2 linked regions of the Xenopus tropicalis genome follow. The protein of the gene in region 1 interacts with the protein of each later gene in a pairwise test. Links are inferred from orthologs where the notes say so. Each region holds a gene or a part of one and is shown in the gene's direction. Other genes may lie near its edges.

Region 1 (16,215 bases):
TACTGTGTTCATTATATGAACAGTCATGTACCATTTTGCTTAACACCCTACATTTAGCATACATTCATGACAATTGTAAACCTCCCCCACTGTGCAAATTTGTAACGAGAAAATTGCAAACTGCAAACAGAAATTGCTTTTGCGGCTTCATTTTCATGAAACGTACAAAATGTTCTTTCAAAGTAAGCAACTTGAAGCATTCTGTATTTCTTCTCATTTATTTTTCATATTTATAAGGTCTTTTGCATTCAGATTCTGTTATAGTGTAGCATAACATTAGTCCAAAACATTATAAAATATGACAAAAGCCCAGATTTCCCAGGTGACCTTTAGCAAAATGATTATGGGTCACCTTTAGGTAGGTGGAGGTCTCTGAATTGATGAATGGCATAAATGAAAGAATTAGTCAGAACGGGCTATTTGAACAGCTCTGCATGTACCTTAGTGTATCCCTGCAGAGTTATGCACAGAAGGAATAGTACAGCTTGTTACCCACACATCACTTCAGTGGAACATTTTAAACTTTATTCTTTCTCTTGCTACAATCTCACTGAATAATCACAAATTAATTGAATGGAATAAAATTTAGGAAATACCCAAACATTCATTGGTAAATTTGCAGTGCATATATTGTGGCAAGTGTACATATGAATACTTAATCAACATGTAATTTATATTATAATAAGTGACCTATTAACAAATCTTACAAAACTGAAATATACTGTATATATCAGTTAATATTGCCCTTTTACATCTTTTCCCTGGAGCCTCCATTTTGTGATAGTCAGAGATCACCTGACAAGAAATAGTACAGCGCCAACTGTAACAAGAAGTGAAGTAGTAAAACGCATGCCTCTGTTCCTTGATTGGCTGATGTAAAATAGCAAGTGTGCATGCACTTGTTTTGTGTGTAAGCACAGTGCCTCATACAGACAGAAAGTCAACATGCACCCAACCCTAACTTGCCACTCTCAACCTGGACTCTTTCAAATTTTTTGGACATCCTCTTGCTTCATTAGTGAATTTGTTTAAAAACAGAAAGTCGTGGACTAGGTATTGTCATGCTGCAGTTGTTAGCGATTTGGTACTCATAAATGAGTTTAAAATGGATACATTAGCAGTTGGCTAATTTAAATGTTAAAATAAGTCTCATTGTTTCCTGGAAAAGAAATGATACTTGTGCATAAGGCTTGTCACACGTGAAATGAAAAAAAAATGTTTTCAGCTAAACAGCTACTGATCACCACATGTGAATTCTACATGCGGCACAAGGATTATTATATAATTTATATTGCACATATTTTACAGATTTTTTTCATCATTCACAGCTTTCTCTGCCACAGTGAAGCTTACAGTTTAAGGTTCCTGTTCTACAACCCGGATTCCAAAAAAGTTGGGACACTAAACAAATTGTGAATAAAAACTGAATGCAATGATGTGGAGGTGCCAGCTTCTCATATTTTATTCAGAATAGAACATAAATCACGGAACAAAAGTTTAAACTGAGAAAATGTACCATTTTAAGGGAAAAATATGTTGATTCAGAATTTCATGGTGTCAACAAATCCCAAAAAAGTTGGGACAAGGCCATTTTCACCACTGTGTGGCATCTCCCCTTCTTCTTACAACACTCAACAGACGTCTGGGGACCGAGGAGACCAGTTACGCAAATTTAGGAATAGGAATGCTCTCCCATTCTTGTCTAATACAGGCCTCTAACTGTTCAATCGTCTTGGGCCTTCTTTGTCGCACCTTCCTCTTTAAGATGCGCCAAATGTTCTCTATAGGTGAAAGATCTGGACTGCAGACTGGCCATTTCAGTACCCGGATCCTTCTCCTACGCAGCCATGATGTTGTGATTGATGCAGAATGTGGTCTGGCATTATCTTGTTGAAAAATGCAGGGTCTTCCCTGAAAGAGATGACATCTGGATGGGAGCATATGTTGTTCTAGAACCTGAATATATTTTTCTGCGTTGATGCTGCCTTTCCAGACATGCAAGCTGCCCATGCCACACGCACTCATGCAACCCCATACCATCAGAGATGCAGGCTTCTGAACTGAGCGTTGATAACAACTTGGGTTGTCCTTGTCCTCTTTGGTCCGGATGACATGGCGTCCCAGATTTCCAAAAAGAACTTTGAATCGTGACTCGTCTGACCACAGAACAGTCTTCCATTTTGCCACACTCCATTTTAAATGATCCCTGGCCCAGTGAAAACGCCTGAGCTTGTGGATCTTGCTTAGAAATGGCTTCTTCTTTGCACTGTAGAGTTTCAGCTGGCAACGGCGGATGGCACGGTGTATTGTGTTCACTGACAATGGTTTCTGGAAGTATTCCTGAGCCCATTCTGTGATTTCCTTTACAGTAGCATTCCTGTTTGTTGTGCAGTGTCGTTTAAGGGCCCGGAGATCACGGGCATCCAGTATGGTTTTACGGCCTTGACCCTTACCCTTGTTCCAGATTCTCTGAATCTTCGGATGATGTTATGCACAGTTGATGATGATAGATGCAAAATCTTTGCATTTTTTCGCTGGGTAACACATTTCTGATATTGCTCCACTATCTTTCTGCGCAACATTGTGGGAATTGGTGATCCTCTACCCATCTTGGCTTCTGAGAGACACTGCCACTCTGAGAAGCTCTTTTTATACCCAATCATGTTGCCAATTGACCTAATTAGCGTTATTTGGTCTTCCAGCTCTTCGTTATGCTCAAATTTACTTTTTCCAGCCTCTTATTGCTACTTGTCCCAACTTTTTTGGGATTTGTTGACACCATGAAATTCTGAATCAACATATTTTTCCCTTAAAATGGTACATTTTCTCAGTTTAAACTTTTGTTCCGTGATTTATGTTCTATTCTGAATAAAATATTAGAAGTTGGCACCTCCACATCATTGCGTTCAGTTTTTATTCACAATTTGTTTAGTGTCCCAACTTTTTTGGAATCCAGTTTGTATTTATACATCACACATTAGTTACACCAGGAGCCAGTTGACTACTATATATATTTTTGGAGCTTGGGAGGATAGAGCAGTAGATGGAAGAAACCCATGCAGACAAGGAGAACAAACTCTCTTTAAGAGAGTGAATCTCTTATTTCAGAGCACAAAATGTGTTATGTTTAGCAAATATACCTCCTATATCTCGTGAGTAGGTAATCTCCCCAGAGTGGCTGCATTGCACCATAACTGATTGAGTTTGTTTTACACATGGGGGCCCATTTACTTACTCACGAACGGGCCGAATGTGTCCGATTGCGTTTTTTTCGTAATGATCGGTATTTTGCGATTTTTTCGGAAAATTATCGCGACTTTTTCGTTACCAATACGATTTTTGCGGAAAAACGCGAGTTTTCCGTAGCCATTCCGAAAGTTGCGATTTTTTCGTAGCGTTAAAACTTGCGCAAAAAGTTGTGATTTTTTCGTAGTGTTAAAACTTGCGCAAAACATCGCGCCTTTTAAGTTTTAACGCTACGAAAAAAGCGCAACTTTTCGCGCAAGTTTTAACGCTACGAAAAAATCGCAACTTTCGGAATGGCTACGAAAAACTCGCGTTTTTTCACGCAAATCGTATTGGTAACGAAAAAGTAGCGATAATTTCCGAAAAGTCGTAAAGGCGCCGAAAAAATCACAAAAAATACGAAAAAGTCGCAAAATGTTCGTTTTCCAATCAGAATTTTTCCAATGCGGATCGAATTCGTGGGTTAGTAAATCAGCCCCATGGATGTGCACTTAAATAAGAGATTCACTACTAAATTCTGCACCAGGAAAATTGTTTTGCACTTTCCCGCAGAGTTTGGTTTGAGAGCTGCAGGAAACAAAATTAACTTTCATATAAAGTGCCAGTTGGACTCGCTTCTGTATAAATAATGCTGCTCTAATTACAGTAAACCCTCTGAAGTGCTGCCCCAATTCTCATCATATTTTATGGTTGATCTTTATTACATTTCTCTCCATTGTCCTCTAGGATTTTCTGCTTTACCACTAAATTAAAATTCCAGGCTTTTCCCCTGTAGATAAATTAGCAATATTTAGACTTCAGGTTATGTTTTATATATACATTTATTACAAGGTTTTTATTTTGCTTAATGAAATATGTTGGCACAGGGTGTACTGCACATCCTTACTTATTTGCATGATGGTCATTCATATTAATATGAAGCACTGTACAGAATTAACTGAAAAGTATATAGTGTATAAATTATTATTTATAGTGCAATGCCATCTTGTTTTAATGTCAAAAGGGTTTCATGGTTCCTTGGTATATCCTTGAATGTGGTAGCTTTGAAACATGGGTGGAGAGGAGAGTGCACTAAGGGACAGAATCTAATGACTAATGAATGGTTATATTTTTTGTAGGAGCTGCGACCTCCCACACTGGATATCAGAGAAGAGGAACTGGGGGATCTGGTAGAGAAAGAGATGGCAGCCACTGCAGCAGCAGTAGAAACAGCTGCCACTAGGATTGAGGTAAGATATACAAATCCACATAGATATTAAATTGCTTTACAATGTTTCCTTTCTTTCACATTTATATTAACAGTTCAGTGGTCACAGGACGGTGATAATCAGTCTGTTCTTTGAGTTGTCTCTCCCCTAAAAGCTTTTCATCGTAAAGGGCAATCTTTCTTAATTAAGTAAACCTCCATCCTCCATTAAGTAAATCTCCATAAGACTAATGACACACATAAAGGCGGATTTAATAAAACTCTTCAACATTTCTCTTTTTTTTATTTTAAAATTCGACTAAACTTGTTTCCAAGTTTAGTCAAAGACAGCACTGGAATAGTGACAGAAAAGTTGCTAACTTGTTGCATGAAAAATGAAAATTGCAAAATAGTTGCAAAAAAACAGCGTAAAAAATATGAAACCTATAAAGTTTCAAGGCAAAAGAAAGATCCTCCAGGGAAGGGAAGGGACATCTGCCATTGACTTCTACATGATCACGGCAAGTTTTACCTGGCGAATTGTCAGATTCGGATTTTTAGCTGTTTTGGCGCTTAGTAAAGTTCACATATTATTTAACATTATTGATACAACCAAATTAAGGGTTAACCTTCAGTGCTTCAGATACCCAAGAAAAGTTGTCACAAGTAAATGCACTTCCCAAGTCAAATAGGTAGCCCAAATATACCAGCCCTAGACCTACAACATAGAAAAGGGGGCATCCAGGCACTCATGGATTCCACAAGGGGCAAAAATATAAAAGTAAAAATCTTTATTGGAAGTTACATTAAAATGAAAAGCATTTCCATTTTCCCTACACATTTCAGGCCTAAATTGCACTTAGTCATAGTCTAGTGCAGTGGGTAACTATAATGTACTTGGCCACCCCAAGTTGTAGCATGCACAGCAAAACCATTCCTCTGCCTGCGCCCTCAACTTGTATCCCCACCAGCTCCCGTCGAGGTAGGGGGGATTTTTTTCTATCTATAGAGGAAGGGGATCCCTGCAGTCTGGGCACCCTGTATCCCAGCTCCTATGTTATCATGTAGCAGCCTCTGCTCTAACATAGTGCTGCTATACCAGGGGCTTGATTGTGTTTTGGACTGCTTATAAATACAACAAAAAATTATTTTTTTACAGGAAATGTTAAATAAATCCCGAACTGATGATACTGGAGTAAAGTTACAAGTCAATGAGCGGTAAGAACATTGTGGACGTTTGATAAAGTGTATAGGGTTGATTCACTAAGGTGCGTTAGAACGAGTGCTATTTATGCGTTAAAAATTTTATTGCGTCTTAACGCATGATTCACTAAAAGGATACTTGCCAATTTAGACGCGATGCTGTTTACGTTATTTATGTCGCAAAGACTATTTTCGTGCGGTATTTGACGCAACACGCGCTAATTAACGCAGCGCGCACAAATTGTCAACGCACGCCATATTAACCATACACGCCATTATTTTCGGAAAACTACTGTTCTGAAAATGACCATGTCTCTGCAAACTGGAGGCTGCATCACTCTAGGGCCAACACATACTTGAGTAAATCACACTGTAAAGTCCATATTGTGTTGCCAAAAGCTCATGAATAATGCGATATTTAGCGTGTCTAAGTGTTTGTGAATCATGCGTTAGTATTATTTCTGCACGAGAATTAACGCAATGCGTTAAAATGAACGCCTTGCGATCATGCGTTATTTAGCGCATGCGATATGCGACTTAACGCACGCGATAATACTTTAGCGAATTGTGCGTTTTTTTCTGCTTATTGCACTTTTGTGAATCAACCCATATATATGTTATTGCACTACAGTGATATGAGCCACACCTTTTTTGATTTTTAGCTGTTTTAGTGTAGACCAACAATATGATAGGATTTGGTTTTGTTACACAAGTTTATTACTAATTTTTTTTTTCCTGCAGGATCCTGGGATCATGCACAGACCTAATGCAGGGGATACAGGCTTTAATATTGGCATCAAAAGACCTACAGAAAGAGATTGTTGAGAGTGGAAGGGTAAGCTCAACCTTGTAATCAGGACCAAATTAGTGGGGGAAAAAACTCAACCTTGTTTTCTAGATCAAATTGGTGGGAAAAAAGATTTAGCAGTGGTTGTTATTGCTGTTGTGTAAGAAATAACAGAATTTAGAACATCCAAGCTCAAAAACTTATTCTCAATTACTGGTTGAAAAGATTAATTTTAAATTATAATGATCATGATAGAAATAGTCTTGTGAAAGAAGTGCCAATGCAGAATAGAAAATTTGCAATGATATGCTGTCATGATATCATTTATATACGGTATTACAATAGAGGCTAAATGTTGTGTTTCCCTTCCTAATTGGAGTACATTTTATGCCAACTCCAGATTCTAAACTTAAGAGGCTAATTAGCTTAACAAGAACCCATTTTATAAATTAACAATAATTAACTGATTGTCCTGCAGGGTGCAGCATCTCAAAAGGAATTTTATGCCAGGAATTCTCGATGGACAGAAGGGTTGATCTCAGCATCAAAAGCTGTTGGCTGGGGAGCCACTGTTATGGTGTAAGTAATTCTGCTTCCCATGCATACACTCAGCTCAACCCATCTACATATACCACATTGCAACCAACAAATCAGAGTGACTAGTATCTATGGGTTTTTGCACACGTGGGATAATAAACTAGGACCTTGTTTATTTATTTTAACTTTACTGATACACAGTGCATGTCATCTTAAAAAAGAGGGCCCACCTTAAAAAAAATATGACCTCAATGCTTGAACCAGGAATGCCTCTTTCCCTTTCCCCTTTCTCTTCCTTTTCTTTGTTGTTATATAAAATCAATAAAAATTTAAGTTACAAAAAAAAATATTTATATATAACCTCAGTCTAATCAGAACTCTTTGACTCTTCTTTTGTATTCTTCATCCTTTGCGCTTTACAGGGATGCAGCAGACCTTGTGGTCCAAGGTCAGGGGAAGTTTGAAGACCTCATTGTGTGTTCCCATGAAATTGCAGCAAGCACAGCTCAGTTGGTGGCAGCATCCAAGGTATAGCTGATAAGACCAAATGACAAATTCCTATGACTTTACCACAGGATACAGGGGTAGAAATCCACATACATTCAATTGGTGTGGCTTTGCCCAGAGTAGTCACCAGGAAGGATGTAGAAGGAAGTTAATTTCTAAGCCAATAAGTTGCATTTCAGATATCAGCAAATTTCTATCAAAATGTCTGCTTTAAAAATTCAGTCCACTGTCAAAAATAAGAAGAATTTACAGACAAATGCTCAAGATCTGTTCTTTGAGAAACATTTGGAAAACCCTGAGCATTAAGCCGGCCATACACCCACCGATAATATCGTACAAAACCTTTTTTCATACGATTTTCGGTGCTTCAGAGAATGCTGCTGATATTGAAGATGCCTAAGCAAAATCTGCCTTCAGGGCTGAATCGACAAAAGGAGGTAGAAATCCTATTGTTTCTACCTCCATATCTGACGATTCAGCCCTGAATGTCAGTGGAGGGTTGGAACGATCTTTTGTGCGACCCATGGTCGCATGAAAGATCGAAAATCGTTACGTGTGTGGCCAGCTTTAGCTCAAAGACCATTTTACTTGTTCCTCTTTAAAAACTGCTACCTGGTTCCAGTACACTAAAAGGCCGCTAACCAGTTATTTTCCATGTTACAAAATTAATTAAATGCAGGAGTGATTTGGAAGAACATGGTTATAGCTGTGATGCTCTTTCTTCCGTGCAGGGAGAATAACATCATAAGGTGCAAAAGGGCACTTTTACTTACTTGATGCAGTGCAATTTTGGACACAATTGGCGTGTTTTTTTTCATGCATCGCAGTGGGCACAATGTGGTCATTGAATCAGACACAGATGTGATGTGTCCAGTCTAATTAGTCAACATAGATGCAACTGCTTGTGTGCTTTTGTGTATAGCAGACACAGTGTTGTAGTCTGGTGTGAGTTCCAGTGCTCACGTCATTTACAGTGTTCGGCATGCAAATGATGTCTGAATCTTTAGGTGTAGCTATTGACGAAGGGTGCTGAGGGAACCCTGAAGCTACTGCCTAGTCAGGAGGTAATTGCAACTTTAGGGTTTGCACAGAGCCATGCATAAATAAATGCAGCAAAGCTCAATTCAAAAGGGAAGGCAGGAAGGACTGATTGACACCAAACTGTACTGAAGTGCACACAGTATATTTGGACACAAGTACTTTAAATGAAAGTGGTTTTAGACACAGCTCACTGCAGGGAAAGTACAAGTTGCTCACTGCCTCTGTAGATATAAAAGAGCCCTATAATCTTTATTGGACCAGCATTTGGTTCTAGTTATTCTTTTCAGATTCTTTCAGAGTTACAGAGCAAGACTCCTTGTTAAGAATGTTACAGAGGATTTCAACAAATGTGGTTCAGAGCTATTTAGAAGTGGCAAATTATGTCACCAATAGATTTCATTTTTGTAAAATCACTGTTGTCTCCAGGTAAAAGCTGAGAAGGACAATGCAAACCTTTCTAGGCTCCAGCAGGCCTCCAAAGTTGTGAATCAAAATGCAGCCGGAGTTGTGGCTTCTACAAAGTGTGTTATGTCCCAGATTGAGGAAAAAGGCAAGTTGTATCCCCTTTCTAATGATGGCCATAAGTCCATTTTAATAATCCTCTTCCTATAGTAACTAAATATAGCTTTTTGCGCACTCACAATACTGCATCTTGGAGCAAATACACTTTCTTCTAACTAGTTTCTCCTTCCCTTCCACAGACACTATGGATTTCTCCAGCATGACTCTGACACAGATTAAAAGAAAGGAGATGGATTCTCAGGTAGTGGCAGCATCTGGATTTAACTTAATTAATGTAGCTTTTCTGCTCTTGTGATTACCTTGCCATGGATACTTACAGATTAACATTGACTGTATTCTCTGTGTGCCACTCTAAATACATTGCAAGCCCAATAAATGAACATTCTATTCCCCATTATGCACAGATAAATCTTTTGTACTTTAGAACTAGTGGGAATTTCTTTGCAGGATTTACTGCAGAGCACTGGGAAACTGATTCGAAGGCCAAGCCTGAAAATCCAATACATTAGGTGTATTGTTAGCTTTGATCCTTTTTTTGCATGTCTTGCTATTAATGTAGTTTATGTCTAATAAGTGTAATCTCAATAAAAAAGTATATGGCTTTACTTTTTCTTTGGTGTAGGTGTGTAGGTGGCCACTGATGGTAATAGTTTTGGAAAGTGATAGCCAATTACACTGCTTACAAGAACTGGCAGATTAGGTGGCTTTAGAAGATAGTACTTTGCATGATGCATGATTTCTCATTATCTTATAGTCATTCTTGTTTTGTTGTCAGGTGCGTGTTCTGGAATTGGAAAATGAACTTCAAAAGGAGCGAGAGAAGCTGGGGGAGCTACGGAAAAAGCATTATGATTTAGCTGGGGTTTCTGAAGGCTGGGGAGATGGTAAGTTAAGAAACTGGTGTGTATAAGTCTTATCAAATAAAAACTCCCACAATGTTTGTGTAGAAAGACATAGTGCAGTTTTACAAATCAAAATCATTCTTCCAGTATCTCAACTTCCTCTGGTGTCTCTCAAGCATAAAAATAACAAAATGTTACTTAATGTTGGGGAACCACAGAGGAATTGGGACAGTTAACATTTGGAAGTATGACTTTGATTTTCCATTTCCATTTATATAATATAGCCAGTTGCTGGATACAATCATGATAAATCATATACACTTTTACAATATACATATATATTTTAGATATCTTTATAATACACAATAATGTTAAATTTAGATTGAAATGTCAGAAAGTGACACATAAAAGCATATATTACAACCATAATACAGTCTCTTTTGAGGTTCCAAACTTGATGTTTATGTCCTTTACATACATAATCGGTGAAAAGCTGTTCAGTAATGGCCTTCATTAGATCTGCCTACTTTTTATGGTCCAGCCAAAAATGTATATGTGTATTCCTTAAACTCGAGCACCAATATGTGGTACAGGCAACCCACTTGCTCGCTGTTGCTCTAGTTCTCCAATGCTTACGCCATACATCTTTAAGACAAACATCCATACACCAGAAAACAGTATTTATTTTGAGATAATATACTTCTTAATACTAATTAACAGACCATTAAAAATAAACTCTAGATTCCGTAATATTTGTAAAAGCCATGTGCGCATAGTGTTTTATATGGTTAAAGAACTTTTTGGTTTGCATAATTTCTTATTTTGATGTGTTTCATCTGGAATTTTGTTATTATTATAATTTGCTGTTTGCATTTTTAATCTGTAGCTGCAGAATAACCTTCACTGACGCATCCTCTTGCAATAACAATTGCACATACGGAGTCGAACTCAGACTTGCAAAGCACATGTCTATTCAGTATAGAACCTCTCCAACATAGTCAGAGCTCGCTGGCACTGGGTATTCCTGACAGATCACAGTGTCAATGGACAGCAGGAGTGAAGGCCCAGCATGGAAGAAGAAGGAGCCAGGAAGATGGAATCTTTATCATAGTCGCTATGCTCAACACTTCTCACCTTCAATGTACTTGGAAGAAAAAAAAAAGGAAATATTCAATTTCTTAATGTATACTTTTGTTTAGCATTTAACATCATACAGCAGGACAGAAAACTAATTTTTCAGAATTTTGCTGCCTCTTTGGCATCTGAATGTTGTAATTTGTTTCAGACTCTGGGATTCATTGATTACAGAATGCCTAGGCGCAATATTTACCCAAAAAAAGGCATTGAAAGAATTTCAGCTTATGTAAGACCAGGGGTATGCAGAACAACTTTTTTAAGCACTGATGGTTTGCATATCAATTAGCTGTCAAACATGCAAAGCAATAATTTGACAATGTTATGTTAAGTTTGGTGGACTAAGTAGAAATTCAAATGTGTGAAATATATTTACTATGTATAAATGAAATATTGTAATCATTCCCAAGATGTCTTTACTGGGAGCAAATATCACAGATCAAAGATGCACAATGCCATCATCTACCTACTATATGGCCAAAAATATACATACATCCCTTGGAATTAGTGTTAATTTCTATTCAAGAGTCTCTCCTTTCTAACACTGCAGACAGCTTCACATCTCCAGCTGCTAACAGAATGTGTTGTACTAAAGAGCTCAGTGACCTACTCTGTCATCAAGTGTTAGACCACAGGGCCACCAAGTATTAATGCATGTAGTGCATAAAAATGTCAAGTCTTTAGTCAAAATCACTATGGGGTTCCAGATTTCCTTTCTTCAGAATCTTAAGTTTTTCAGTGGGTGATCAGCTCAGTGACACACAGGATTAACTTTCACATACCTAAAAATTCTTGCCTGGTGTGGTGTCAAGATTGTAGCTACTGGACTCTGGAGCACCTGAAATCCATCTCTGGAGTCATGGATCATGCTTTAGCATCTGACAGACACACAAGTCTGGGTTTGACAGGTCCTACCTGTCTAAATCAGTTTTCCCAATGGTATAGTAGTTTGGAAGAGGCTGAATAATGATCTTGAGCCGTTTGCTATTCTATGGGTCAGGCTGCTGATTCCATTGAAAGCAGACCTTAAAGCTGCAGCTCACAATGACATTGTTGACAATTCTTTTTTGTGGCTTCCAATTTTTTTTTTCTGTTTTAGCACAATAATGTCCTTACAAATTGAGTCCATAAAGAATTGTTTATTGAGATCACTGACATCAACCCAACTGAACTGTAATGCCAGCTGCAAGCCATATGTGATCACAGTGCTCACCTTCTCTAATGTTTTTTGTGACTGAGTGGAAATTCTACCAACAATGCACATCACATCACATGGAAAGCCCAAAAGAGCAGAGGCTGTTATAGCAGCAAAGGGAAGAACATCTTCATATTAATACCTTTGGTTTTAGAAGAAGATTTTGGTCAGGCAGGTATCTGGCTAATTTTGGCCATGTAGTGCTGTAATAGGATCACTGTTTATAAATAAAAAGCTTAATCTTTATTGTATTGGTGCTGCCCATTAACACACCCATTAAACATATTGCTGTGAGATTTGCTGTATAATGAGGAAACCACCCAATGATCGAAAGAAAGATATTTGAAAGATTCAAATAATATGTAACTAAATCTGCAATAATGCTGTTAGGATGAGATGCAGTCAGGCCACATTTTCCCAGAAAGTACTACAATTATACATGAAGATCTCATGTTGAGTTGTGTTTGCTGACTGCAGCTGGGACATGCAAGCAGTGGCCCTAACTTTGTGGATTATGCTTCAAGCATGTTGGCTCTCAGATGTTAGTGGGACTTGTAATTCAAAAGCTGAAGGGCCACTGGCTGGACATCCCTCATACACATGATTGGTAAAGAAGAACTCATGTCCATGCGCCATACCATGTTATGAACTTTTGCAATATGTAGATGAGGAAATCTGCTGCATTCTGTTGGTGCTTTTCAGTCAGTTTCCAAATTAATTTTACCGTGAGTCCTTCAGCCACCACAGGGAGTAGCTAAACGTTTCATTTGGTGTTAATTTGACGGAGAACACTGTGAGATTAGCAGGATGCATATAATGTTTGGTGCTTTGTATCTGCATCACATGTGGGGTATTGTGACACCAGTAGATGTCAGGGTTAAATTTACATGAATAAACCTGTTACTTTTTTGTTGTTGTCTTTCTTGATTATTTTTATGGTTATATTTGGGTAAAAGAAAACTGGTAGCCTCATAACTTTCCCTGTGTTTTGCATTTTCAGCTTGTGAGGATGCTAGGAATTACAGTAAAAGGAGAACTAAAGTCAGAATCACTGGGTGTTGTGCCCAAATGACTATTCTTACCTCTTCTTTAAATAAACACCCTGGCTCAAGGCATATTGTAGCAGAGCCCCATGCCACCATCTTTGCCCAAGCTTTAAGGTATCCTTTAAGGTTTCAGCCAAGGCAGATGCTTCCAAACACCAAAGGGCAGGATATTTGCTCTTTACAGCAAGGGCAAATCCTCCTCATACCACAGTTGCATAGATTTGTTCTAGATATGAACAGTTCACATTATATGCAGGCCCCCTTGCAGTTTAGTACAGTATATAGTTTCTAGTGCTGAACTATAGACGCAACCGAGTATATAGCAATTTAACTTTGTTTATGATGCAGCCATTAGAGTGCCTAGCAATTTCACCTGGTCATGTGGTAGTAATTGTGGCTTCAAGTTCACCCTTTGCTGCTTAATATTTTTCAAATACCCCGGAAAGTGCACATTATATTATATAGCACATTATAAATTACTCCTTTTGTCACTCAAAACAGGGTTTCAAATATATGAAAATATAATATTTACTGCCTATACCACCAGTGTTATCCAATACAGCAAATAAGTAATATTTTAGATTTTAACTTCAAGTTAGCCTTTATGCATCAGTTCCCAGAAGGCGTAGCCACTCACTTTCTATGTTAGTAAAATATATAACAGAGGAGAGTAAAAACTATGTAAAAATTATCTGAAATTATACGTCAAGCCCCTTGGTGTCCTTACTTGAGAAACATTTTGTGTTGACAAGTCACAGATTTAACGGATCTGCATGATTAGAGCTCTCTTTGTCTATTATATATATACTACCTTGCACGATGTACTAATCAGCATGTTTGTTTACACATGAAGCAATGTTCTTTACCCACAATTTCAGTGCAATAGTTGATGACAAAATAGAGCACTTCTCAACAGCACCAGTTTTTTATAATAATTAGGGGGGGTAAATGTCACGTCTGGCACACATGCACAGTGTATAAAATGCCATGCAGTTCCCTTGATGCAAGGGAGGTACAACTCAGTGCAAGTGAGTTTAATATGTAATATGCAAGTGAGTTTAATATGTAAAAGTTGACACTGAAAGTAAAACTTCCTCAAAGCTATTGACTTCCAGAATCTTGTCTCTATGCTCAGGGCAGTGATGTATGTGGTGTTTTATCCTTCACGTTTTGTCACAGGCAACAAAATGGCAGAAAATGCCTTTATATGTATTTTTGCTAGATTCTCGTGTTTTCTCTGCAGCAGTTCTTTGCACCTGCTGTGGAAGGTGCAAAGAACTGGAGCGAAGGGGGCACTTTCTAAGCACCACCATGGCGCAGACATTACCATGCCTATTTGAATGGTAGGGGCCAGGGCCCAAATTTTGCTTTTAGGCCCTGGGTCTTAAATTTATTGGGCTCTAATGTTACCACCTGATGGGTATTTTTCCTGGTCTGGCCATGAAAAATTATGCTTAATGCCACTGGTATTAATAGTAAAGGAAAATAAAAATTTAGGAAAGCTGGTATTTTTTTTCTAAAAAGGTGCCCACCCTATTGGTCCCCATAAGGGTTGCCACCCATTCGGTTTTGGCCCGGACAGCCTGGTTTTCAGAAGGGCTGTCAAAACTGCTCAGTTTTCTTGTTTGGAAAACCAGACAGGGCTTTCCTAGTTGATGTGGCGATAGGCCAATTGCCTTGTAATAGTCCAACCCCTGTGATGTCACTCTCTTGCCCCATGACATCACCACCCATCCCCCTTCCCAGCTTTTGGCAGGGGAAAAGGTGGCATCCCTAGCCCCCTACTGTATTCCTCGTTGGCTCATGTTCATGGTGACCCTGAGTTAATACCTTATGACTTGGGGGCAGTATATATCTGTAAATAGTCTAATACATGTGCTTCTTGTGGGGTGGGTTACAGGGTTGTAAAATATTATGTGGAGTTGCAAAGGAGAAAAGCCAATAAGGATCATATAGGATCTCAAGTGCAGTCTGCAAAGTGCAATTGTGGGTGCAAGTCACCTTGCTTTTTACCCACAATGCAGTATTTCTCCCCATATTTCCAGCATAATGGCACTCATGAGGTGGCTATGCATGTAGAGCACTTGCAGGCAGTTGGTAAATTATGCGCAGTTGCATGTGTTTATTAACATGAAAGATAACCGGTAATAAGTAAGGTAATAAGAGGCCATTATTTTATTGTAGAAAAGGTGCAAATCTTGCCAGAAGAGGGGTGCAGGGATGAAAGTTTGTATAGCTATTAGTTTGTTGTTGGTTTTGAGTGCTGCCAGCTTGTGTGAAGCTGCTAGGGTGTTCTTTTTTGTTTGTTAATATGCACACCGAATTGTGTAAGGTGTGTTTTCTGTTGCTGTGCTAATTTCATGCATGTCCTTTCCTTCTCTAGGTGCATAGTTGCCTTTGCCATGTCCATCAAGTTCAAAATACCCTCCAATGTTCAGTATGGCAATCTTTGAATCACTATTTGGATCAGATTATATAGGTTTAACCATTATCTGACACAGACCAATTATACAATTTACAGTCTGTAGTGGTTTCTGTGAAGACCAATGAGAGCACATTTATAAGTGCAGAGTGCTGAGTGTAGTTTTGAGTGTGTCACTGTTTTTTACCCACAATGCAGTGTTTTCCCTACAGTTCCAGACTCATTTACATCTGATGCACAGGCAACAAGGCAGGCACACGCTGATGTGAAATTCTGACTTACAGTAGTTGTGTGATGGACTGCATAGTTCAGAGTAAAAAAAGCTAGAACAGAGTTCACCCCATTAACTCCAACCCCCCCCCCCCAAATTGTTTACCAGCTATAAGGCAACAAAGCAAATCTTCGAACTGAGAAAGTGCACCACATTGTTTTATGAGGGAGGAAACTTTCTGCAGTGGTTTCAGCCATATCATTATAAATATTTCCCTTTGCACCCTTGTATGCTACTTCTGCACAAGGCTCTGTTTCAAAAAGAGGGAATCTTTGG
Region 2 (16,855 bases), on another chromosome or scaffold:
CTCAACAGCTGCTCCTGGACAGATCTAAAATAATCCAAGATGGGAATCTCCTGTGACAACTGTAAAGACCTATATCAAATAACTATATAAAATATTACAATTGAGATGCTGAAACTACAAGCTAGTGCAGTTAGTTTAGAATATAAAATATGGCATTTTTAGCCATATTTATCTTTAGGGTTTAGCCCTCCTTTTACTCCAGATATGCCAGTATAATACCTTAATAAAGTGAATAATGGGCATATTAACTCCAGACGTGCCAGTAATATCACTGTAAAAACTGTGAATGAGCACTCCATTAACCCTAGACAAGCCAGTAAGATCACTGTAAAATGGCAAATGAGCACGTCATTAACCCAAAACATGCTAGTAAGATCATTGCATAAATGGATGGATTGAAAGCATTACCTCACCTGCACTTGCACAAGTAGAATACCAATACCAAAGTTTTCTTCTTTCCTAGAACTTGGTTCTCTCTGTCAGGCTTAAACTCCTGTAAAAACATTTTAGACACTTAAAAATGGCTACTAAAACAGTTATCTTTTGTAATGTAATTCATTCATTGTATCAGTGCCACCTGCTGGCCATTGGCTCACTGTCTACACTCGGGAAAAAAAATAATAACTCTAAGTAAAGAACAGTGATTTAACGTTGGTCTGCTTAATACTAACAAGAGAAACATCACGACTCTTCTAAAGTTGTTAAGCAGAGCAACATCACAACACCTTGACTTTTTCATGTTTTATTTCTGTGTAGACAGTCAGCCAATGACCAGCAGGTGACACTGTTACAAAATTTATTGCATTGCCTCGTTTTAATTAACATGTCTAATAACATGAAAATGAAAATAATAATTTATTAATAATGATAATAAACTGCAAAAGTACTTAGGAGAGCACCCTGAGCAATTGACATTAACTTGTTTTTAGGGTTAACACATTCTTAAAGATATGGAGATCCACATGACAGGAAAAAACCCTATCTAGAAAACCCAAGGTCCCAAGCATTTTGGTAACAGATCTCAGGCCTATATAAAATTTTACTAGCTTCATGTGACACTATGATTTGTGTTGGCGAGATATAGCACAATAAACTGGATATACGGTACATGCATAAATATTTATGTGCAGCTACTGCCACCTGCTGGAACCTAGAACATACACCGAATCTTCCTACTGCTGCTTTTTTTAAACAAATATTAAGCTCATATTCAAATGTAAATACAGTGGCATAACTACTGGGAGGGCTAGGGGTACAACGCTGGACTACCATGGAGGTGCTGTAAACTGTGGTAGCAGTATAGGTGCAAATCCAGGTAGAGGTGTGGGGGGCCCACGTGCAGATTTTGCACCCAGGCCATTGGGGTTTAGTTAAGTTAAAACTGTAATTATATCTAACTTGATAATTCATTAATCACTGATGTATACTTTATTATTCTACCAACATATATGTACATTAGTTTAATTATTATGAAAAACAAGTTGATGAATGAATGTGTTCAAACTAATAATCTTATCATTCAAAAATTGGAATATTTACATCAATCAGATAAAATCTGAAAATAACATATGAAAGAATTTAAGAATGTTCACCATGTCTAGCTGTGTTTTTCACTGTCCTGCTCCGGCTATTATGTTATATAATTTTTGACAAATCATGAAAACCCGGTTGTATCAATTGTCCCTGCAATGGTCTCGGTTGATCACCATAACTTCTCTGTTTCTATGTGGTTCCTAGAATATGAAATAGTGACCCAGTATCCATGATTTCAAATTCCATTCACTTAAATGTGAGATAAAAGGAAAACAAATATCAGTGGCACTTAAATAGCATTTCAACAGGTCCATACCAGTTATCATTAACCCATAGAGCCTGACAGAACCTTAGTTTCCACTGGACACTTTTCTGTAGCTGTATCTGTTTCCCTTAGGCTACTGTCCCACTGAGAGATTGGTCGCTGAGGGTTTTTTAAAAGCGAGTTCCAGTGACAAGTTGCTTTTTTGGTCTCTATATAGAGAAGAATATAAATAACTGTGGGCGGGGAATATGATATCTGGATTTGTGGGAAATAAAATCACCCAGTGAAGAGCCTAAGGGCTCTTAGAAACTAGTAACCTGAACAAGGACAACCCATCTAGAAAATTGAAAAATTACCCTTTCATATTTCTACTACTGATCTAAGACATGTCGGGAAATCCTGACTGGGAAGAGCCAACCAAGCTCCTTTACTCAGCTTGTCCGTTTTGGACATTTGAGAAGAACTATGCAAAATACCCTTAAAGCCCCCAGAAGGTCACAAAAACATTCTTTTACAGTCTTTTCTTATACCCATCCTAAGCAATAAGGAAATTAGCAAGGTCACCAAATGAGCATATTATCTCCCGATATGCTCACGTATGGTGGGCAATATCGGGCTAATCCGATTATTTGACTCTAGGGCCAATTGATCGAATTAAAACGGTGGGTATATGGGCTATTGGACCTAGGGCCATATCAATGAGTTGATGCGGTCCCCGATCCGACGGGATCTGAGGCTGATGTATGAGATAACTGGTCCCGTACATGTAATACATGTACGGTACTTGAAAATAAACCTGCCTAGAATCTTTAGAGACACTTGCCATTGACTTGGCGGTTTTAGTTGCAGAGTTTTATATTCAAAAAAAGATTCAAAGTCTAGGCCTGTGACAAGTGCTCTGTGCAAACAGTATATTTCAGTATATCCCTCCACTTGTCTGGCCCTTAATAGTTTTAATTGTATAGTAAACCCACAGTAGAGCTCCCATAGTCCCACTGCAGTGCCTAAGAGGCCCAATATAGGTGCTGCCCACCAGCATTTTAATCCCCCTTCTATCCCCCCCTCTCTCTCCCCCATCATGTTATACCAAACACAGTATTGTGTAATGGGGGAAGGTGACAACTTTTTGCCACCCCCAGCATGTACAGACAGTGAGGCATAATCTGTATTTTGCATTCAGCTCCTTGTAGCAGTGTTTGATATTAAGTGTGGCAGGGACTGGAACTGGAACTTGTTTGCAAATGGAGTGGAGCTGGGTGTCAGAAAGTAAATACATGTGTGTAAAAATGGTTTGGGATTGTTTGAAGTGAGGGTGTAAAAATGTATGTGAATATGCATACTGAGAATAAGAATGTGTAAAGAGATGTGTGTGTTTATAGGTAGTGGAGTGTGTGTTACTGGATATGAAAGTGTCTTCTCTACAATGTAGAACAAGTCAGGCTTTGGGAATTGTGGATGGATTAATAATGTGGTGCTGTGTCACCAGTGACTGGGGCTCCTGCTGCCTTTCCATTTCTTAAGCTGGCCATACACACATCGATTATACGTTTTGTATGATTTTTGGACTGTGTGTGGAGTCTGTATTATAGTCCCAATAATTTTCATACCATGACAATTGGCAATTTACGCATATGCAAAAGGGTTCCAAATGCACCGGACACAGCGGCTTGCTTAAAAGTCGATTTTTATTACTCCATTTAAAAACAATACGCCTGACGCGTTTCGTGTAAATATACACTTAATCATAGCCATGCCTATGATTAAGTGTATATTTACACGAAACGCGTCAGGCATATTGTTTTTAAATGGAGTAATAAAAATCGAGTTTTAAGCAAGCCGCTGTGTCCGGTGCATTTGGAGCCCTTTTGCATATGCGTGATTTCGCCTTCCCCAGCTACAGGTTCGGGGCTCTGAGCACCTGAACCACTTCTGAATAACGGTGAGTTCTTTGCATTTAGGGTTTCACATTGTGAGAGCTGATATGATGGTGTTGGGAATTTGACCTAGATCAACTGTGAGACAGATCCGGGGTTTATACACCCGGATCTCTCTTTTGTATTTGGTCCGTTTTATTTACTTGATTTCCTGACATTTGAGACATTTAGGTTAAATTAATTGAGCCATTTCTAAGTTTAGGTTACTACCATTTCTTAGTTTGTAGTCAATTGGCAATTTAGTCTGATATTGGTCAGATAAAGTCACTTTCATACTATTAGGGGCATATTTACTAAGCAATTTTGAGAAAAAGTCAAATTTTTTTTTCTTCTAGAAATTTTCTAGATTTATGAATGGGATTTTGCCAGTACTCAAATTTTATGATATTGTTATAATGAGAGTTTTTCGGAAATTTTCCCTGAAAAATCACAGAGTTCAGCTTTCTCTGTTTGCTTAAGACAGCAGCTGCCATTTTAAGTAGCTTCCTGCTTGCAGCCTGGCCGTTATAGCTCAGATCACACATTCCTAATGGTAGGGAGAGAGGAGAGAACTGTGCAGACTCTGGCCCAGGGAATTAAGGATTGTTTTGAGAGAGGAAGTCCGACACCTAAACATCATTTTTACAAAAAAGGAGACAAGAAATCCTGTGTTTCTTTTGATAGAGGACAGCTTATTAGTCTATCTTTTGATAGAGTGCAGCTTATCAGTGAAAAAAACTTACTTAGTTTTTACCTTTCCTTCTCCTTTAAAGCTTGCAAGTTTGTATAGAATTCAATGGGAGTCAAGCCATATTTTCAATTCGAAATATTTGAGATTTTTCTTTTTTTTCCAAGTGTATAAACTTGAAATTTAAAGTATTCAAGTTTTTTTATTTGAACAAGTTTCAAAAATAAGCGAGCATTTGATATATGAGTTTTAGATTTAGAAAAACAAACTCGAAAATTTATAAATAAGACCAACAGTGTCAACACAGCAGTTTTGAAATACATATTGCATAGGCCTGTGCTTTACATCGCCTAACAAAGCATAACTGATCGGGTTGAGGTTAATGGGCTTATTTATCAATTTTTCAGTTTGTGAATTTACAAGTTTTTTTTCTAATTTGAATAAACTTGCATTTAAAAAAAACTTGAATGCTTGCTTATTTATTAATATGACTAGACTTTTGCCTAAGATGACTTTTACATGAACTCTCAAGCTTATAGCTGCCAAATTTTAAAATTTGAAATTTCGAGTTTTTGCACTAAATTCCAAAAATTTGAGTTTTTGAACCATAACTCGAATTTTGGGAGTTTTAGCACAAACAATTGAATCTTGAGAAAAATTTGAACATTGATAAACCACCGCTTAAATATGCCTTGGTTTACTGTTATGTAGGCCAGCAGTATCATGAAAGTTCTGCATCAGTCTGTTATGTATATAGTGCGATACAGGCTTGTAACTTCAAATGTTACATTGGTTACATATGTTTAGATATAAAGAAGGTATAATCTCTGTAAAGCACTGTGGAATATGTCGGCCCTATATAAATAAACAATAATAAACTGGCCTTGAAAAAGTATGTCTTCATTGCTAGTGTGACAAATCTGCATGGCTATGGAAATAAACATTTGGAGTAATTCAGAAATTACTGGGTATCTAGCCCTCTTGTACCTATTTACCAGCCTCTCAGCATTTTCCTGATGGAGAATTTCCTAGCAATATGTGGCCATTGGCTAGAATCAAGTATAGGCCAGATAAGTGATGCCCCCACTATGCACCTAGAGCAATCTCAGTATAGAAGATAGGCAAAAGTGGGATATTTAGTTCACTAAATATCCATGATTTTTAATTGGCACCCGTAAACAAAAGGACTTTATAGAGACAAATTTGCTGGCCTGAAATTTCTAGACACTGTATTTTATATCAAGTTTGTGTATGTTACCCTGTATGTTTTTTTCTTTACTTACAGTCTATGTGGGACTATCTGGTAGAGCTGGGCGGTATGACCAAAAATTTATATCACGGTATTTTTCAAAATTATATCGGTATCACGGTATTTGACGGTATATAAATAAAAAATAAATAAATAATAAATATTGGTGGTATTTTAGTATATGTATGGTAACTGCTAACTACTAATATCCACTGCTAACCAATATCCATTTACTAAGCATTGCATCTCTGACTAATGCCCCACTGATATCGCATTTTGGTGGATGGCTTTCTGTAGACACAGACGCAACCTCCATATCCCTTGAAATTTTTAACAATGCGTACTCTAGAAAATTATCAAAATTTGGCATATTCTCAAGAGCATTATCACAGACTTGCTTCAGATTGCTCCATGTTCTTCATGTTGCTGTTTATTTGGATTTTGCAACTTCTGAAAACAAATGGTTGCACCAGAGCTTATTTCAAGATTTCACAGCAAAAGGGTGAGTACATATTTATGCAATAAAGATTTTTTTTTTTATCTGTAGATTATTTTGAAAAATAATATTTTCCAATTTTCCATTTATATATTAGTGGGCTATTAGTGTAGTCAGTGGAAAATACTCCCAACTAAAACCAGTTATATCGTAATCCCAGGTTGTTACACAACAAAATGTAAAAATTCACAGGGGTTGAATAATTATGCAAGGTAATTTATTTGTGTAGTTAGTAAAGTAGTTTGAGGCCTTAGTACTTTGGCTAGTTTAATTGTTCACTGGTGTATGCAACAAGACCGATGTTACAATCTTCTGGTTCAGTTTCAGTTTTTAGGAATTGCGTGCAAACCACGGGGCTCTAGTGGATAAAGGCACACCTGCAGTATATGGAGTCTGTAAGCACCCCCTTGAAACTACAGAAAGCCCATATTTCAGGGAAGGGGACGTACAAACTGTGCTGCTGAGACCATCTGCAAATATGCAGGAAAGTGCAGGTCTGGGATAATTGGCCTTTTGCGGTCAGTAGGATGCTGGAAGTTGCAGTGTAGCAAAAATGTAGGGCCATATATAATTTTTAACCACTTTTACTATCAACTATTTCTGCTCTTGCATTTTTCTGGCATTACATTGGTTTGATCTAGTGGCCCTCTAGCATTGTGACAGATCCTAATTTAGTATTACAAATAAATTGTTAATCTGGGTGGTATATTCACTTACAGCAAATTACAAACTTTTTATTTATTAGTCAAGATGCAATGACTGCCACTTTATTTATAGTAGTTCATTTGTTCAGCAACAATTTTTCACGTTTATGCACTACTACACTTTGAGCGATTGATTTACTTCTTAACCGGCAAAGCATGTAAAGGTATAAATATAAACCACTGTGATGAATTTATGGAAGAAGTGGTGATTTCATTTATCCAGTACTGCTGATCAGTGCTATAAGGGGGTTTATGGTCCTTTCGACATCATTCATTCATACCAAGGTACACACATACAAGTGCTCACTAGTGTTTTAATGTGCTCTATTTTCAAATGCATCTTGAGAAAGACAGGGAAAACAGTCTTGAGATTTCTGTACCGAAGACAAATAATATTTTTAATAAAAAGGAGCAGTTTTTTAAGGTCACAACTGTCCACAGTCCATTCTTGCAAGGACACCGGCACTGCATTAAATAAACTAGTAGAAACCGCCTAAAAATGCATGCTCGCATTTTTGGGGGGTGATCTCTGTTCTGTTTAGCTGCACTCAGGCTAACACTGTGCCAGTTTGTGAAGCAACATACAGGCAGGTATAGGGACCCCCTATCTCTCCTCTTGCCTACAAAACACAAGAGAAAGAGGACAGGACACCACGTGGGACTGTGTCCTTAGTGTAAATCATGTCCTGTGCAAGAATGTTGCAGTGCGTACCCACTGACAATGAAAGAGCAGTGTACAAATTACAATGCATTCCATTGATCTACCACCAGTTTCATACACAGGCCAAAGCTGCCATATTATCGTTTCTTTGAATGGACAGAGGGTGATATGCAATGTTTATTATGCCAGTTTGGCCATCATCTGAGTTTGACCTCTGAAGCTGCATAGGGTGCTATGAGAAAGGTTCCATATGGCACCCTTTGCAGCTTCAGAGGTTCCCACCAACAGGATCCTGGGTGCAGTGCCTTAGGATGAGTCTGTGCTACAAATTACAGATATACTATTATTACCAGCACATCATTAGGCCCTGGCATTTCAAGTACACAGAAGCCCAATCAGCCCCAAAACACTGTGACTGTCCGTTAAAAATTGACAATAGTCCTCCTGGCATTTGCCAGAACCTACAGTTTGCCTGTACACCATACCTCATTGGTGTTTATTCCATTTTTAGAAAGACTTTCCCTTTCCGGTCATCATATGGTGAGAAGTGGAACTGTGCAGGCCGCAGCTTAGGGGCATATTTATTATAGAGAAAATTTGTCACACATCGCCATGTAAAAATGGCGTAAAAACGGCGTAATTCTTTTACGCATTTTTTTTCCACCGGAACTTATGGAAAATAATGGCGTAATATCCGGCGTTCAGATGGTGATCTTTTCCATTTATTTTACACAGCTTTTTTTCGCCGAATTAAGTTTTATACAGCATAATAAATACGCCCCTTAGTGTCCGATCACCAGCGATCCAACATGCTGGCTTCAGAGTAAACTGCCCCAGAACCAGCATACATGCCCAGATGATGGTAGGCAGGGTGTATGAAATCAGCACACTGACCAAATCAGGCCAAGTATGACCACAGTATGACTATAGTATGACTACAGTATGGCACAACAGTGCAGCTGCCTGCACCCCTCAAGGAATACAAACTCGCCTGAGCAAACAGAGACAATAAGCTCTGTCCTGCGAAACCTGGGACAGCTGGCTGGGCTGGAAACTCTATGCACATAACCTTCACCTTCGTGAGAACTGAAACTACTCCAAAACAGAAGCACACTTACTTCCGGTGAAAAAGTTTCGCTATTTCATGGCAAAGAAAGCGTACTATAAGGGGAGGAGCAGCGCAGCGTTGGGGAACTCGGGCTCCTTGCTTGGAACACGCACACGGTGTACTCTCAGCGCTTCCGGGCCAGCGTCGCGCCCCTCAGTTTAACAGCGGGATAGGGCGGTGCCTCGTAAGCCACGCCCGCTGCAAGTTTTTCTCCGTATGTTTCCAGAGTTGTGGGAGTACAGTCCCTAGCTTTAGTGTGCCTAACTTGGATCTGCTTGTCTGAAGCTTGTCGTTGCGTTCTCCTCTGGTATTAGACAGATTCAAGGGACCATTTCTGTCAAATTTGAGGTACGTGCCTGTCTCCCCTCACCCAAGGATCGCTTTCCACGTTTACTCTATAAAGTTTTCACACTTCGAACTATGAACCGCTGCTTTCCAGCTGTGGATGAAGATGAGGAATGCTGGGAGTTGTAGTCCGGCCGCAGCTGGCGAACTGCACGGGAACGAGTGATGTCACTTGCTCTGTGTTAGAAGCAATCGCTCTTTCTTACCGATACGCTTGCTTGGCTGTAATGTTTCTGTCCGTGTATACATACTGGGTTGTGTATGTGTGTGCAAGTGTGCGCCGGTAGCGCAAAGATGGCAGCTGCTACAGATGTGTGTGTGGGTTGGAGCTGGAAAGTTTGCTATGCAGGGAGCTGTATCCGGCCGCAGCAGCAGGGTGAGAGTATCATGGTGTGTTTGTGGGTACAGGTATTTAGCAACACATGGGGCTCGATGATCGCATTAAGCTGAGCCATATTATCATTGTATTATTATTTTGCCTATTACATATTTCCTATCAGCTAGCCCTAACATTGTTGGCATTTGGACACAATAAATTGGTTGAATCATCTGTTATTAAACAAAATCACTATAATTATGATTCCTCTTGTTAAAATGAGAGATCTACCATTTACGGAAAATATGTTGTTTGCAATATGTCTATGAAGATTCTCATTCATCCAGGTCATGATATACAGTATCTAGTAGAATTAAGTCTAAAACAACTGGACTTTTCTGAGTTTTTTCCTTGAAAACGTTTCAAGATTTTCCATTTCTAACATTGGGACAGTGAAAGCCTCTTGTGTGAAATTATTCAACTGTACAACTGTACTGCTTTAAGAACAGAAGCCCTATGTAGGTATAGCCCTCTGTTTGCCCCTAAATTGCCTTTCTGGCTCCTTTATTTAGTCTAACACCTCCTCCTCCTAGCCCAGAGCAAGGGGAATGTGCAGTTGGGGCTAGGCACTCTGGTACCTGGAAGGTAAGTACCACTGCTGAGTGGAAAGGGCTTTAACCTTAGCTGGACATGGCTACTATAGGCCTGTGCAAATAAAATTAGTGACTTTTTTTTGTTAGTTCTTTAGATGCTTCTTTAACAGCAGCATAAATCTATTTGGCATGATTCCTTTGCAGTTTAGAATACACAGAATGTAATTTCAGCACAAGTTCTATTAATTCTGCTCCTATTGAAAAAAAGGTCTTTGTGTATGTATATACTATTTTTCTATATGTATTCTGCCCCTTTAAAGGGCTAGACAATGTTAAACCAATTCATTTAGTCTAACTAAAAGGCATAAAGAAGAAATACTGAAATCTGTGACATTGTCCAATAGTAACAGCTATAGTGTGATAGAGTTTACAAGGTGGAACTTTCATGTACCAGTCAGGCTGACATACCTTCCTCTATGAATTGCAGATTATTGAATATTTCATACAAACATTCTGCTAACATTCTCGGGTTTCTAAATTGGGACTTTGAGCCTGTCACAACTAGCCCATCTGTACTGCAGGAGTCCCTAATCCTGTTGCGCAGTTTACAGAATGTGTGTGTACCAGTATTATTTTAAATCCCAAACCCTATGCCATAATTTGGAAAGTGCTGCTTATAAATTGCAAAGTAGCAAGTCCTCACTGGTGTTCAAAATAGGCCCTGGAATTTCAAGTACACAGAGGGCCAAACGGTCAGTCACTATTTAGTGGGCAGTGGGGGGCTATGGCATCTTAGAGCACTACCTCTAGCACTAGCCAGAATCCACAGATTGCCAGTCCAGGCCTGCAAAATAGTACACTTTCCAGTAAACTGAAAAGAAAAGCAATGATCCAGTGTTCATACTCAGTGTATTCAGATCATTTTTTCCACCATTATAGCATCATTGGGCTTAAGTAAAACATAAACAATTCCTCAGACTGAGAGCCATAATTATCTCCTGTGACTCATAGGGACCATTTCCCCACCCCTTAAGGTGGCCGTACATGTTCAGATTTTAGTCTTTTTCCGACGAAGTTTGGATGTCAGTCATACATTTCAAGGGGATGTTTACCTTAAAATTAACGTTTATTATGATGTAGAGTGTGCTGTTCTGAAACAATTTGCAATTGGTCTTCATTTTTTTTATGTGGGGTTTTTGAATTATTTTGCTTTTTGTTTTAGCAGCTGTCTGGTTGCTAGGATCCAAATTACCTTAGCAACCAAGTAGTGGTGTGAGTGAGACATTGGGTTATAAATAGGAAAGGGCCTGAATAGAAAGAAGAGTTATAAAATATGACAATAATACATCGGAGGATGTTCTGAACATGAAATAGTTGCAGACACCAAACCTACAAAAGTTCCATTGTAGGTCCCCCAAGGATATTGTCCGATACACAAAACATGCATGTTAGCCGACCAAAATTTTTAACCTGACCGATTGGCTAAATGACCAATCACCATAGTAAGAAAATGATTGGGACGATAATTCAGAGCCCACACATGGTCCAAAAATCTTACAAAATCTCGTTTTTATCGGTGTGTATACGGCCAGCTTTAGCCTGGCAGAGTCATTCAACCCCTGGGACTTGAAGTTGCTTTTTAAAGGATCTATGCAGTGGCCACTGTGGAAAGCAGAGGAACTTCAACTCTATAAATCCATCACTTCACCACAGTACAATATGAGCGAGGGGTTGAATGACTGTCAGCCTAACTGGGGGTGGGCAGTGGACTGTGTGAGTCAGAAGCAGGTCATTGTGTTTTCTCTATATCTGTGGAATAGTGTATGTCTATGTAAAACAAATGGGTTTATATATATTTTTTTTTTTTTTGCAGTTCACGTAGTGATTATACATGTGATTTTAAACAAGCCCAAATGAATGTGCATATTTCAAAAACTTGTCCCCTTTAAAGATGGATATGTATCTTCAGTCATGTGGAGAAGTCATTTTCGTGACTTGCTGCCCTGGTACCTTGAGGCACTTTTTCATGGTTTCTCAGTGAAACCTTTCTGCTGGTATTTAGCATTTGACTACTGTCACACTGAGAGACTTGCTTGCACATCACATTAAATATACATATTTACCAGTTGAAGAAGCATTAAATGCCATAAGGTAGTAGTGATTGTTTTGTATATTTTATTGTGTGATGTGGAGCTAAAAGTTCCATATGTAACAACATTTTTTTAAACGCTCAGTGTTTGTTTTTGCTGGTTTCCTTTCTTCCAGTTGCCTGTGGTCATATTTAATTACAGATACATGCAGGATCCAGCACTTAGGAACTCTGAGGATGTCTAGTGCAGTGTTAACTCTTGAGTGCGGTTTGCTGGAAGTTCTGCAGACAGTGCATCAGTGCCTCTTCACTTCAGTCTATATGTTGACTTCTCATTCCCTTATGCAAAAACGTTATGGAATTTATGAAGTTGCTCCATTTTCCTGTCATAAGAATGACTAAGTGACACAAGCTTTCTTACAATGAAGCAATTATAGAGTTTCATGCTCAGTGCACATGCCTAAAACTGAGGCAGGTAATAGAACACTAATTCATTTCTTTTAGGGCCATGGCTCCCATGGCATTTTGATCATTATTACTAATCCCTGGTTGCTTTCTGTTCAGTTCTTTGGGAAGCACAGATATCTTTCAGAACTTGCCATTAGCTTTTGAAAAGGCGCCACAAATAGCCACGTTTGGTTTGCTGCCTCATTTTACAGAAATCAAAACACCTTATGGCCTTGGCCATATTTTCTATATAGGCATCCAAGGGACAGTGCTGGTCCTGGTTTTTTGCTCCCTGGAGATTGATGGTACAGTGCACTTCCAGAGTTCTGTGGCACAGACATTAAAAAGAAAAAAAGGAAAGTTCATATATATAAAATCCCACATAGGCAGGTGCACACTGGGAACGTTTACAAAAATTACTTTTATTATTTATAAAACTAGGTCGACGTTTTGGTCTCCTTCTAAGAAGGTTCTTGCAGTTGAACAATAGAATCGGTTTATTGTCAGAGACAATCAGTATGCAGGGTTAGTGCAATGTACTCACATACAGCAGTTTAGAATAGCAATACTCTGAGGACAGCACAGAGAGGGTGCACACCTGTTCCTCCCAACTCCTCTTAAGTCTGGGCAGGGTCAGTGACACCTGGTCCACCCTTTGGAACAGTCAGGTTGGATACCACACTCCTCAGGTTGCTTGGAGATTAGCTGCAGTGATTTGTAGTTAGCTAGAGATAGGTTTCATTGATTTCTCTTGACAGTCTATATTAACCCTAAAGGAAACTTATTTGTAACGTGTACCTTAAAAAAACACTATGTTCAGAATAAAAAGTACTTTAGTTTTGCCAGAAACAATGTGTAATGTAGCATATTTTAGAAAAAAAAAATGTATTTTCTATAAAGTTACTGGCATTTTAGTGGTTGCTTGGAGGAATCCATTTCTTGATTATTTTTGTTACCTCTGGGATACTCTTTTTATTTCCTTTATGGCAAACAACAGAAGATTTAAGGGACAGAAGGGAGTTTAGATGTGCTGTTTCACAAGGCAAATATAGTCCGTACGCACAGCAGATTTTGGCACAAACATGCATTTTTAATTGTTTCTGTGCCAAAATATGCTCTTTGTGTTTGCTAACAAGCCTATTCCATGCCTCAGTGTACGCACAAACGGGCATGGAAGGCAGCAGAGGAAGCGACCTCTGTGTACAATTTAGTCCAAGCTGGAAAATAACTAATGTTATGCAATATGAAACATTTCACAAGACTTTTAAAAGTCATACTTTATTGAAAACATCTCCAAAAACCCTACTAGTTTCACCTATCTGTTCCACTTCCTGCTGCTTCCTTTCCCAGGCTGTGCAGGGGATATTAGAAAAAAGATGTAGAAAAATAGAAAGCAATTTAAGAACATATTTTTTATGCTATATCTGAAAACAGCTGAACTAGGTAGTGTTTGGAAGGTGAACAACCTCTTAAAGGGAAACCTGTTCCTTAAAGATAGGTGCTTGTGCACTCGGAAGATTGAGCAACTTTTAAGGTGTATTGGATTCTTAGTATAGGTTAGAGATAGATATTTCCTCTGGATCAGAATTTCATTCCTCTTCTTCTGGATATGTTAACCACAGAGGAGGGGTTATGGGCGCTTGCCATTTAAGCTAAGCTTACTATTTCTATCTCCTTTTTCAAAGTATAGTTGGGCTCTATATATAAATGAGTTTCTCATTTCATGGGAGTAACCCCTTTAGCATGTATTTCCACTTTGAAATGTTAAAAGCATGAAAAAAAGTCCCGGGGGCATTAAATAAGAGCCTGTTGGTAGGCACTATGTGGACTGGCAATTTACAGGAGGTTCTGTTTGGCAGTACAACCAAAACTTTCCTCTAAGCCAGAAATTAAAAAATATGCATCTGCTTTGGGGCTACTGGGAGCAACATCCAACTAGATGGTGAGCAACATGTTGCTTACACGACACTGGTTGGGGATCACTGGCTTAGATCTTTCTTCTTGATTTCACTAGAAGGGATAAATGAAAAAGGGGTGATCAGAGAGAATTCTGAAAGGAAGGTTTTCATCGGTTTTGGTAACATGTTGTGAGATGGAAAAAGAGAGAAAAATAGTTTGTGTGAAGCATGTTTCTACATCCAAAAATCTTTGTGTGTGGTTGTGTATCATTGCAGAGCTCTTCCTACATTTTAGGGCATTCAACTTTTCAAAAGTTAAATAGATATTTTTGGGTGAAAAGCACACATTTATTTCACATGTGTTGTTATTGGGGCTTTGAACTCCATATTTCCTTGCAGATGGTATAATAATTTCTACATATGTATAAATAAATTAAAATGTTCTTATTATTTTTTTCAATATAAACTATCCCAGCTTAAAACTTGTCCTTTAATAAGCATACAGAACATCTACAGTTAAGAGGAAAACCATAAATACCCTACCACTATATTTATATGCCATTATCTTAAACAATTTATTCCTTTCTGCTATACAGTACTGTGTATATAAGTAGTGCTATATAAATAAAAATATACATACTTATCGTTCACTTCAACAAGGAAGCAACTTGCCATTCTTCATTTTTATATATATTTAGAAAATTTCCATTTTACTAATTTTAGTCTCTTTACTCTACACAAAGCACTTAAAACAATTATAATCAACACAGTTTTGTCTGCCAGTTTCAGCTTTCAATGGCCGGAAGCCTCCCATAGAAACAAGCTGCTGAAAGCTGAAATTGGTGGACAACAGTGAGTTGATAATAAGCAGCACAGCAGTCCTTAAATACACCTTTAAAGGGACAGTACACACCTAAAAATGAACACAGAAAATAGAACTTGGGTTGATATTACAATCTTTCTATTGTTTTACAATCTGTTGATTGCTTTAATTTGAAAAAATCCTATTTTTGGCATTATAAAGCATTCAGTTAAAAGTTGGGTTTGCTTTACTGAATTTAACCCCCTTCCTTTACAATTTACTGAATTTAACCCCCTTCCTTTTACATACGTTCGGTACGAAAATTTTGTGACTTTCGCATCACCAATACGATATTATCGTGACTAATACGATTTTTTTGTAAGCATTTTCGTGATATTTGCGATCTTCAGAAATTTTCGTTTCCAATCCGAATTTTTTCCATTCGGGATTCGAACTTGTGTTTTGATAAATCTGCCCCTATGTCTGACACTGGAAAGCTGAAACAATGCGTAGGCCTTTCCACCAGGGACGACTATAGTTGCCAGTGGAAAGGCATTTTGGAGGTTAGTCGCCCACTGTAGCAGAGATCTGTTGCGGGGGACTAACCAAAGCTGCCTTTGCTATAATGAGATACTAGGGCAGTAGCAATGCATTTAGACAGATGGTGGTACAATATTATATACCCTTTTGTCATGTGGATTCAAGGGTTAGATTTCTAGTGTGTTGACTAATGCTAATGGGGGGGGAACAAAAACAGAGAACAGCATCAGGAAACAGCCTGCCAACCATGTTTATTGTATAACACTCATCACGTGCCTAGTGTACATTAGATAGTTCAGTAGATAAACACAGTGTCGGCCTTTTAACGTCTGGCTGAAGCTAACCCAGAATATGTAGCTTGGAAGGCTGATTGGAGCATTGCTTTTTGGCCATCCATACATGTGGCAAAGTTGTACTGGATATGGCTACATAAAATACATAAACAGTAGACTTTGAATAGTAAACATAGTACAGGCATAGGATCTGTTATGCAGAAAGCTCAGAATTATGGGAAACTCATCTCCCATAGATATTTTAATCAAATATTTCAAAATATTAAAGCATATTTCCATTTTTCTCTATAATAGTAAAACGGTACCTTGTACATGATCCCATTTAAGATATAATTTATCATTGCAGGCAAAACAATCCTGTCGGGTTTGTTTAATGTTTAAATGATTTTTAGGTAGACTTAGGGGCACATTTACTATGGGTCGAATCCGAGTCCGAATTGGAAAAATCCGATTTGAAAACGAACATTTTGCGACTTTTTCGTATTTTTTGCGATTTTTTCGGCGCCTTTACCATTTTTTCGGAAATTATCGCAACTTTTTCATTACCAATACGATTTGCGCGAAAAAACGCGAGTTTTTCGTAGCCATTCCGAAAGTTGCGATTTTTTCGTAGCGTTAAAACTTGCACGAAAAGTTGCGCTTTTTTCGTAGCGTTAAAACTTAAAAGGCGCGACGTTTCGCACAAGTTTTAACACTACAAAAAAATCGCAACTTTTTGCGCAAGTTTTAACGCTACGAAAAATCGCAACTTTCGGAATGGCTACGAAAAAGTCGCGTTTTTTCGCAAAAATCGTATTGGTAACGAAAAAGTCGCGATAATTTTCCGAAAAAATTGCAAAATACCGATCATTACGAAAAAAACGCAATCGGACGCATTCGGCCCGTTCGTGGGTTAGTAAATGGGCCCCTTAAAGT

The links.
Region 2: the proteins of hip1 (region 1) and litaf interact in binary tests that used the Homo sapiens proteins (3 or more experiments, as listed by UniProt). The link is inferred for Xenopus tropicalis from reciprocal best matches to the Homo sapiens genes HIP1 and LITAF.

The regions. Positions count from the first base shown.
Region 1 is NC_030678.2:48,848,522-48,864,736, forward strand, and holds the end of hip1 (huntingtin-interacting protein 1), read left to right. Parts: intron 1-4,364; coding exon 4,365-4,475; intron 4,476-5,591; coding exon 5,592-5,650; intron 5,651-6,376; coding exon 6,377-6,470; intron 6,471-6,900; coding exon 6,901-7,001; intron 7,002-7,381; coding exon 7,382-7,487; intron 7,488-8,933; coding exon 8,934-9,057; intron 9,058-9,208; coding exon 9,209-9,270; intron 9,271-9,804; coding exon 9,805-9,913; intron 9,914-10,757; coding exon 10,758-10,768; 3' UTR 10,769-13,109; downstream 13,110-16,215. UniProt on the Homo sapiens protein: Plays a role in clathrin-mediated endocytosis and trafficking. Involved in regulating AMPA receptor trafficking in the central nervous system in an NMDA-dependent manner. Regulates presynaptic nerve terminal activity.
Region 2 is NC_030685.2:36,362,840-36,379,694, forward strand, and holds the start of litaf (lipopolysaccharide-induced tumor necrosis factor-alpha factor homolog), read left to right. Parts: upstream 1-8,838; 5' UTR 8,839-8,965; intron 8,966-16,855.